2 linked regions of the Ovis aries genome follow. The protein of the gene in region 1 interacts with the protein of each later gene in a pairwise test. Links are inferred from orthologs where the notes say so. Each region holds a gene or a part of one and is shown on either strand. Other genes may lie near its edges.

What was found.
Region 2: the proteins of UBASH3B (region 1) and DOC2A interact in binary tests that used the Homo sapiens proteins (3 or more experiments, as listed by UniProt). The link is inferred for Ovis aries from reciprocal best matches to the Homo sapiens genes UBASH3B and DOC2A.

What each region holds. Positions count from the first base shown.
Region 1 is NC_056068.1:33,037,355-33,041,659, reverse strand, and holds the start of UBASH3B (ubiquitin-associated and SH3 domain-containing protein B), read right to left. Parts: upstream 2,850-4,305; 5' UTR 2,532-2,849; coding exon 2,371-2,531; intron 1-2,370. UniProt on the Homo sapiens protein: Interferes with CBL-mediated down-regulation and degradation of receptor-type tyrosine kinases. Promotes accumulation of activated target receptors, such as T-cell receptors and EGFR, on the cell surface.
Region 2 is NC_056077.1:26,767,152-26,771,691, reverse strand, and holds the start of DOC2A (double C2-like domain-containing protein alpha), read right to left. Parts: upstream 2,989-4,540; 5' UTR 2,142-2,988; coding exon 1,877-2,141; intron 1,519-1,876; coding exon 1,439-1,518; intron 1,144-1,438; coding exon 1,069-1,143; intron 954-1,068; coding exon 844-953; intron 1-843. UniProt on the Homo sapiens protein: Calcium sensor which most probably regulates fusion of vesicles with membranes. Binds calcium and phospholipids. May be involved in calcium dependent neurotransmitter release through the interaction with UNC13A.

The sequences.
Region 1 (4,305 bases):
TTCTGCAGGCCAGAATACCGCATTCAGCTGCCATTTCCTTCTACAGGGGATCTTCCCAACCCAGGGATGGAACTCAGGTCTCCTGTGTTGCAGTCAGACTCTTTACCGACTGAGCTACGAGGGAGCACTTAAAGATCACTCACTACGTACCAGACATCACCACTCTAAGTACTTTATCCACTTAAATTCACTACATCCTGGTCCTGGCTCTGAGGCCTGGGATGAGCAGACACATGCCTGCTCTGAGCATGAATCCCAGATTCACTGTTCATGGTGGTGAGCCTAAGCAAGTTATGTGACCTCTCTAAAAAACAGCTTTCCCAGTTCATAAAAGGGCCACATAACCCTTCTCACTGGGCTGCTGAGAGGATAAAACGGATAATAAACATGAAATGATTAGAACACCACAAAGTAAAGACTAGTTGCCTTCTCAGGTGGCTTGGCAGTAACAAATCCGACTGCCGATGCAGGAGACACAGATGCAGGTTCAACCCCTGGATGAAGGAGGATCCCCTGGAGGAGGGCATGGCAACCCACTCCAGTAGCCTTGCCTGGGAAATCCCACGGACAGAAGAGCCTGGAGGGCTACAATCCATGGGGGCGACAATAGTCAGAAATAACTTAGCGACTAAACACCACCAACAACAAATAAATGCTAGTTGTACGAGATCTCAAGGATTGAACAAGCCAAAATTAAACCATCATCCTAATCCATCAGGATGTAGATGAGGCCTCTTGGACTCATCTATGTAGGAAAGACCCATCAGTGCAGGAAGGAATATGTCCTATTTAAACACTTCGGAGAGCGAATGTGACAGTCTGAAGAATTCAGTTAAGTATTTCTTCCCTTAATTAAGCAATTTAGGTCCTGAATGCTGGCCTCATTTTAGAAAAGGCAAATGCTGGGGGCTGTTCTAATTCTGCAGCTTCGACCCACAGATTTCCAACCCCTATCTCCCCTTCTTAAGGACAGCTATGCACATCCATCACACAGCAGGACCTGACTTGCAGTTTCCAAGCCTGGCACACCCCTGCAAAGCTCAGAGCATCTCCTCCCTGTAACTCTGGCATCAGGAAATGGAGCCCCAGTGATTGGAACTCAGTGTGAGGCAGAACTGTAAGTCCATTTTATGGCCTTCCAACCATAGGGTACACCAACCTGTCCCAGCAGGTTAGGTGGAATGATAAAATCAGGAATAAGCTTTGATAAGAGATTATAGTCAAGTCAGTAAGAATAAAGGTTTGCCCAGAGGCCAAGTAAGGGAAACCTAGAGCTATCATGTTAAAAAAAAAAAAAAAAAAAGGAAGGAAAAAAAACCCACACTTTAATCAAGTTGGCCCTTTCTGATAAAGTTTGCCTAACTCCCTGTGCAGGTGATGTCATTCAAAGAAGCAAGGATCCCAGGCCTTGCGTCCCGGCCTAAGAAATCTGCATGCGAGGAATAAAGGGGGAAGAAGGACCTGACCACCCGACCTTGGCTTCCTCCCAGTCAGAGGTCCAGACTTGGGTGGCCAGCCTCCGAAGTCTCCTAGGGCCACTGCCAACCTTGCCCTGGCGACCAGGCCTCTTACCAGCAGGCTGCCGGGCTCGCCACCTGCGCGCTCTCAGCTCTGCCCTACCCCACCCTCCAGGAGGAAAAGGGATGAGAGAGGACGCACCCACCCCCCCTTACTCTCAGGCACCCACAGACTCCTGCGCTGCCGTCACCACTGACGAGAACCCAGGTCCCCTGGGGGCACTGCTTCCCCTTCTCATTCCAACCTCCCCATCAATGAACACGCAGCAACCGCTACGCTCCCGCTGCTCCTACTCTGGAGGAAGACAGAACCCAGAACGACATCCGGAGCCGAAAGCCGCAGTGGTGGGAGCGCCGGGTTCCCGGCCCCGCCGTCCGTCCCTGCCCTCTCCCGGTCAGCAGTGGATCCTCCAGCCAGGCCGGCGTTCGGGATCCAGAGGGTGCCCGAAGCCTCTGTGGGGCCCCGCCTCCCCCGGGGACTCGGCGCTAGAGACCTCAGGGAGCCCGGGGAGAGAACGGCTTAGCAACACCCGCGGAGGCCTGGCGCCTGCCACAGTCCCGGGGACTCGAACCCGGTGCCCTTGCCCGTAGGCATCCCGCGCCCTGGGACACGCCTCATCGTAGGCATGCCCAGCTAGCCCCTGGCCCAGCGCTCGGGCGCATCGCCCTCCCCTGCACCCTCCTCCCGGAGGAGCCGAGTCCCGGGCCGCCCGCGCGCCCAGCCTGCCCCCAACAGGTCGTGGGCAGCGGGGAGCGCGCCTCCCGCCGGGCAAGGGAGGCGAGCCGGAGCGAAGCCGAGGGCTGGCCGCGTGGGGCGGGAGGGGTCGCCGGGGCAGCGAGCTCGGCCACTTACGCGCGGGCTCTGGGGAACCCCATGGACAGCAGCACGTCCAGCGCCGATCCATGCTTGATGGTCCCGGGGCGCTGCTGGCGGTTCCTCCGCGGGGTGACTTTGCTGTACAGCTCCTCTCTCGCAGCCATGCCGAGCGGGCTGGGGTGGCCGTACTGAGCCATGCTCAGCGGCCAGCCATCTCCCGGGAAGGCACCCGAGCCGGAGGGCCCTGGAGGGCGGAGGGCCGGCCCGGGGCAGGGGAGGGGGGCTTGGGGATCCGGAGCCGGGCGCAGGCGGAGGCGCAGGCGGCGCTCGGAGGTTCCCTGGTGTCGAGACTGACGCTTCCTGGTGAGGCCACCGGAGCCAAAACTGCGAGCCGCTTTCTGCCCGGCCGGCCGGCCGCCACTCGGGCCCCGGGTGCCCCCTGCTCGGCGCCCGCAGCAGCCCTCTCTCCTCCGCCCCCTTCCTTCTGCGCTCCCAGCAGTCCGGGAATTTGCAATGAGTAATTTTTGAATGGATCAAAAAGGAAAAGGAGCTTTGTGGGCCGGCTCTGCCTCGCCTGTACCCGGGCCCCGCCCCTCTCTTAAAGCGGCAGCGCGGCCCGTGACTGCTCCCGGCTGGGCGCAGGCTGTAAAAGTCCAGGTGCTTCTGGGCAGAGAATTGGAACCAGCACTGCCTGTGTACACTGGTTCAGGGGAGTCACTTCCAGCGCTCTAGCTTCTCCATGGCTTCCATCCGGAGCCAGTGGGGCCTCAAGACGCCAGATCAACCCATTTCAAGTTTCCTGTGGTTCTGGATGGGGTTATTAGTGGAAATTGGGCAAACTGATGGACGACATGAATGGACCAGAAGGCCAAGTCATAGCATCCAGATAAAAGGTTTTGCTTCCTAGAGACGGTGCAAGACCCAGAGAATTGTTAATAGCAGCTGGAGACCAAGTTCCCATCAGCTGGCCAAGGAATCACGCTGAAGACCTTTTGTGTTCTCCATGATGGACCATGGGATTTCCCAGGCAAGAATACAGAAGTGGGTTGCCATTTCCTTTTCCAGGCTATTTTCCCAACCCAGGGATCGAACCAAGGTCTCCCGCGTTGCAGGCAGATTCTTAACAATTTGAGCTACAAGGGAGGGATAAAACTGCAGACAGAAGAGGAAGGGGAAGATGAAAGGAGGAAGAAGGAGGCGAGGAAGGAAGTGGGATGTGAAGGAGGGTGGGGGAGCAGGAACTGAGAAAGAACACTTTGTAATTGTAAGAGGTGTTCGGCACCGAATGGGTTGATTTTCAATAGCGAATGAGCACCCTGTCAGTAAAAGCATTCTAAGACAGACCGCTTCATCACTGCTCAGTGGTGACAAGTAAGTTGCATCATAGGTTTGCCCAAACTACTCCTACCTCAAAGAAGGTGGAAGTCCTAGCCACCCCTCTTTCCCCACAGCGCCACAACTTGTGAGCTGGTCATCAGCCGTCACGAGAGCTGGTCTTAGAGATATTAAAGCTTGGGGGGAAGGCTGATGACCAGCTCTCAAGTTGTGGAGCTGTGGGGAGAGCTGATGACCAGCCCCCATGAACTTGGCTTGGGGATATTAAAGCTGTTTCATTCAGAGACACATTTATGGTCCTCAGTTAGCTAGGGGGACCCTGCTCAGTGTAATGGAAAAGGCACAGAGTAACCCTCAGTTCAGTTCAGTCCAGTCTCTCAGTCGTGTTCAACTCTTTGTGACCCCATGAATTGCAGCACGCCAGGCCTCCCTAATATCACCAACTCCCGGAGTTCACCCAAACTCATGTCCAAACTCATCGAGTCAGTGATAGCTGCTCTTTTTCAGGTAATGATTATATTACCACCTAACATTTGTTTATTAGGCTCTTGTATGTGTCAATCACTATGTTCAGGATGATAAATGAATTAATTCATTTAATTTTTATGACCCTATGGTGTGTGTATAATTATTATC
Region 2 (4,540 bases), on another chromosome or scaffold:
AGCCCTTGTCCTTTACTCTGTGGAGCAGGAGCCAGCCTAGGAGATACTCATGAGCCCAGGAATTAAAAGATACTGCTTTGGGGCTTCTCTGGTAGTCCGGTGGCTAAGACTCCATGCTCCCAATGCAGGGGGCCTGGGTTCCATCCCTGGTCAGGGAACTGGATTCCACATGCTGCAACTAAGGTCACCTGAGACCTGACAGAACCAAATAACTTAAGAAAATACTGCTTTTACTTCCATCCATCCCCCTCCGCACCCCCGCCCTGTCTTCAGCTGTGATGCTTTTGAGCAGCTCTGTCCTGTAGGGATGTTCAGTTCCCAGCTCTGCCACATAGCTACGGCATGACCTTGAGCAAGTCACTTAACCTCCCTGAACCTCATTCCCATTCCTGTCCCTTGAGACCTCATTCCTTAGAGATGTCAGGGAGACATGGGCAACAACGGGCTGCGTAGGTCTGACTTGAGTCAGGGACTCTGAGAAGGCATCCCAGTGTCCAGGGAAAGACTACAAGAGGAGGCAGAGCCTCGGATGACGAGTGGGGTTCAGGCCGGCAGAGAGAGGAGTCAGGAAGAGGCACAGCAGACAAAGGTCAGGAGTGAAGAACCCTTATAAGAGGGCAGTCCTTGGAGGAGCAGTAGGAGCTATTTGGGGGAGAGGGGGTGGCAGGAAAGTCAGGGGAACATTTTGGCCTGCTCCTGAAGAGGGTGGGGAGCCAGTGATGGTTCTGGAATATCTGAGGGCTTAAGGGGAGGTGGGTCAACCAACCAAAGGTTCCAATGACAGCTGTCCCCAAGGAGGTGCTGAGCTGGAATGCTTGGGACGGGGGAGGATGGACTCCTCACCTGAGCACCTTGTGCGTGATGTCATCAACCGTGATCCCGCTATACGTCAGGTCCTCGTTCCACACAGGATTCAGCGTGTTCCTCTGAGTCTTAGTTTTTAGTTTATTGGCCTTAGGTGAGGGGATGAAGGATTCACATTATGTGTCCTCCAGACCCACAGAGGCTGCAGAAGGTTGGGAATCCACAAGCTGGGGGGACTAGGGGAGGGGAGAGACCAGCCAGTACCTTGCAGGCTCCAGGCAGCAGGTGCAGCTTGACATAGGGGTCGGCCAGGCCATTGAAATCCATGGGCTTGAGGCCCTGGGGAGGACCAGAGGGAAGACAGCTGTGAGCTCCAGGCCTGCCAACCCACCTAACCTCTCCCTGTCTGTCTGTCTACAGTGTGGACACTTAGGGGCTGGAGAGAAGGAGAAGAAACTAGGCCTGGGGAAGGGGAGGGAGTGGAGAAGGGAAAGGCTACTCCAGTATTCTGACCTGGAGAATTCCATAGACTTTAGAGTCCATGGGGTGCAAAGAGTCCAGTGGAGAGAAGGGAGAATGGAAACCCACCCCTCTCAGGATAGAAGGCCAGCAGGGGGAGGCAGGGAGCACCCACCTTAGCCCTGAGGATACTACAGTGCAGAGTGCAGGAAGCCTGGTCGTAGAGAAGGTCAAACTCCAGGGAGCCCAGGGCAGCTGGAGGAAGAGAAGGAAGAGCTCACCTGAGTGAGCGCACAAAGACAAGGTGTGTGTGAGGCGGGCGGGCGGCCCCGCTGTGTGCCAGCTGTGAAGGTGTGTACGTATCTGCGGCTGTCAGCCCGCGAGCCTGTGCACGTCTGGGTCCCTGGCTGGGCTGCAACTGGGGCTGTGTGGGTGGTTGAGTGTCTCAGCAGAAATATTGAATATTGAGCCTCGCTGAAGCTGTAATCTCCACTCCGACTGCAGCTGTGGCAGCAGTGCCCGCCGCCTCCCCACCCCCAGCAGAGCCCAGGCCCTTCCCACCAGCCTGGAGGCCCCCAGGAGTGCCCTGGACCCTTCAAGCCCCCAGACTCACTGGTATCATCCGAGTCGTAGCTGTCCACCTCGGCTCCCTCCTCAGGCGTGGTGGCCCCAAGGAGGGCCGCCGGGGGGGCCAGGGCCAGGGGGGCCAGATGAGCAGGGGCCTCTCCGAAGCCCCCGCCACCCACTTCGAGGCCAGGTCCCCGGCGGGGGAAGTAGTCGGAGATCTGGCGGATGGGCCGGATGGGCCCGGGGCACACGTTGATGGCCATGTGCTCCTGGATGTTGATGGCCATGCGGTCGCCCCTGCGGCCCCTCATGAAGCACCCCTAGCTTGGGGAGGGAGAGAGCGTCAGCCCTGGGCTGGATGAGTCCTCAAACCTCCCGTCTGCTGGCTGAGGGCCAGGCGGCAACCACCGGGGTCTGAGGGCCCTCACTGGCCTCCCTTCCTGGGCACTGAGGGAGAAGGCAGCCTGTGCCAGCCCAGGGACAGGCAGGAGGCCTGGGCCCTCCAGACCGTGAGCTGTGCTCGCCCCGGGGCCAGTCTGGCAGCCACTCCCTGAAGAGAGGTCCTGGCTCCAGCACAGCCTTGCCCACCTACCTCTAGACTGTCCCCTTTCTCGTCCCAGCTCCTGCCCCTCATTCTGGGCTTCTGTCTGCTCTGGGCCCTGCCGACCCCTCAAGCGGCCCTCGTAGGGCCCCTCCTCTCCCTCTCTGAGGCTCTGGCCATCCTTCTGCACCAGGCGCTGGTCTGGTCTGGGTGTCACCCGCCCCTTAGGTTCCCACTTCCCACAGTCCCTTCATTCAACCTCAGGGTCTGCCTGCTGGCTGGTCCTCCACCCCCTGCGGCCCAAGGTGGGGACCCCCACCTCAGATGCTTCCTCCTGAGATCGGATCTCCAGCGGAGCCAGGAATTGCAGCCTCCGGAGAGCCGAACACCCCTCGGAGGCACACACAGGCTGACACACACACGCTCACCCTCACCCTCTCGTCCCCGGGAAACCAGCCCCCAGCACCTATCTGTGCGCCTCCAACAGGTGCCCAAGCACTGGGGGGCCAGCGGGTGCGGGCTGGGCGGTGGCGGCCGGCGATTCCCAGGGCGGCCGGCGAGAAGAGCGCCGAGTCCGGCAGCCTGAGCCGAGCGGGAGGGAGAGCCGGAGAAAGTGCGGGGAGGAGGGGGTGAGCGAGGTGGAGGCTAGGAGGCAGCCGGCGCGGGCGGCGGGCGGCGGGGAGGGGCGGCCGGAGGCTGGGGAGGGGGCGGGACTCTCCCGCCGGCGCCCGCCCCGGCACACTTAAGGAACGCACCCGGGTGCACACACATTCACGGGCAGGCTGGCACACGCATCTTGCACGGACACTCCCGCGCACACGTCTGTGCCCACGTGCGCACGCTCACAGTCGTGCATAAACCCAGACACGCGCTGGCACAATTATCCCGGAGAACTTAGCAGACACACGCTTGCAAACACACGGACAACCTGCGCCACCAGGAACCCTCAGCGAGAATAGCCCGGTGTTCCCCAACTCCTCCCTGGAGACTCGAGCCCCCGCGCCCAGCCCGCGGAGCCTCGCTCCGCCGCTCACTGCTGGCTTCTGTCCTGGGTCTCCAGGGCAGACCACCGGCCTAGTTGCCATGGCGACGCCGGATCATCCTACCCACCCCCCCACCACCGCACCTCTCCAGTCCTCACGCCCCTCCCCTGCGGAGGAGGGGGGAGGGTGTCTAGCCTCCCCTATCAATATCCGTAGGGGCGGGGCCTGTGGGGCGGGGCTTAGAGAACCGCAATGACCCAGGAGCGGGCTGGGGAAGGGGATCTGATCTGCCTGCGGTCACTGGTTTGCGATCTCGCGTCCCGGCCCCCGGCTGAGAAACCTCAGAGTTTGAGGCCCGAGGCTGTGGCTCCTCACGCTTCCATCCTTTGACTGGTCAGGCTTCTTTCCTTGGACCCAACCCAGCTCCCGAGGATCCATGTCCGCTTCTTAGGGCTGGCGTCTCCTTTGGGAATCCACTTCCTCTCACCTTCCCACTTGCAGTCGGACCCTCAGGTGCAACGGAGCACAGGGCTTCGTTCTAAATGCCCCAGAGCCCTGGAGGCCTTCCTTCTCCTCTCCTCTCGCCTGAGCCCAGCACCCACCTGTCAGTCTAACTCCAGTCTTTGATCTTGGCTCTCTTCTTTCCCAAACTTGCCAGCCCCCAATGACAAAGTCCCCACAGTGACCTTCAAGGCTCTTCAGCCTAAGACTGTGACTTCTCCCATCTCATCCCCCTTACTCATCTTGCTGGCTTTCAGGAACATTACTTGCAGTTCCTAGAACATACCTGGGTCTCTCAGTCAGGCAGAACTTTGTTCACCCAAGTTCCTCAGCCTGGAAGATCTTTCCTTTTTTCAGAGGGCATCTTGGACCCCCTCTTCCTAAGACACATCCCCCACACCCCCAGCTCAGCCCCCAGCTTCCTGAGCTCTTACAGCCTCAGCTGTGGTGATGCTGGCATGTCATGCCTGTTTACATTTCTGTCTCCACCACCACTGAGAAACAGAGGCTGTCCCAAGCTGGGCCTGGCACTAGGTTGTCAACATTAACTATTGTGATTTTAGATTGTGTAGCAATGTGAATATATTTAGTATTGCTGAATCTGGTGCTTGAAAATGGCTAAGATTTTGAATTGGCCATAAAGTTCATCTTTTTTCTGTAACATTTTAAGGAAAAACTTGAATGA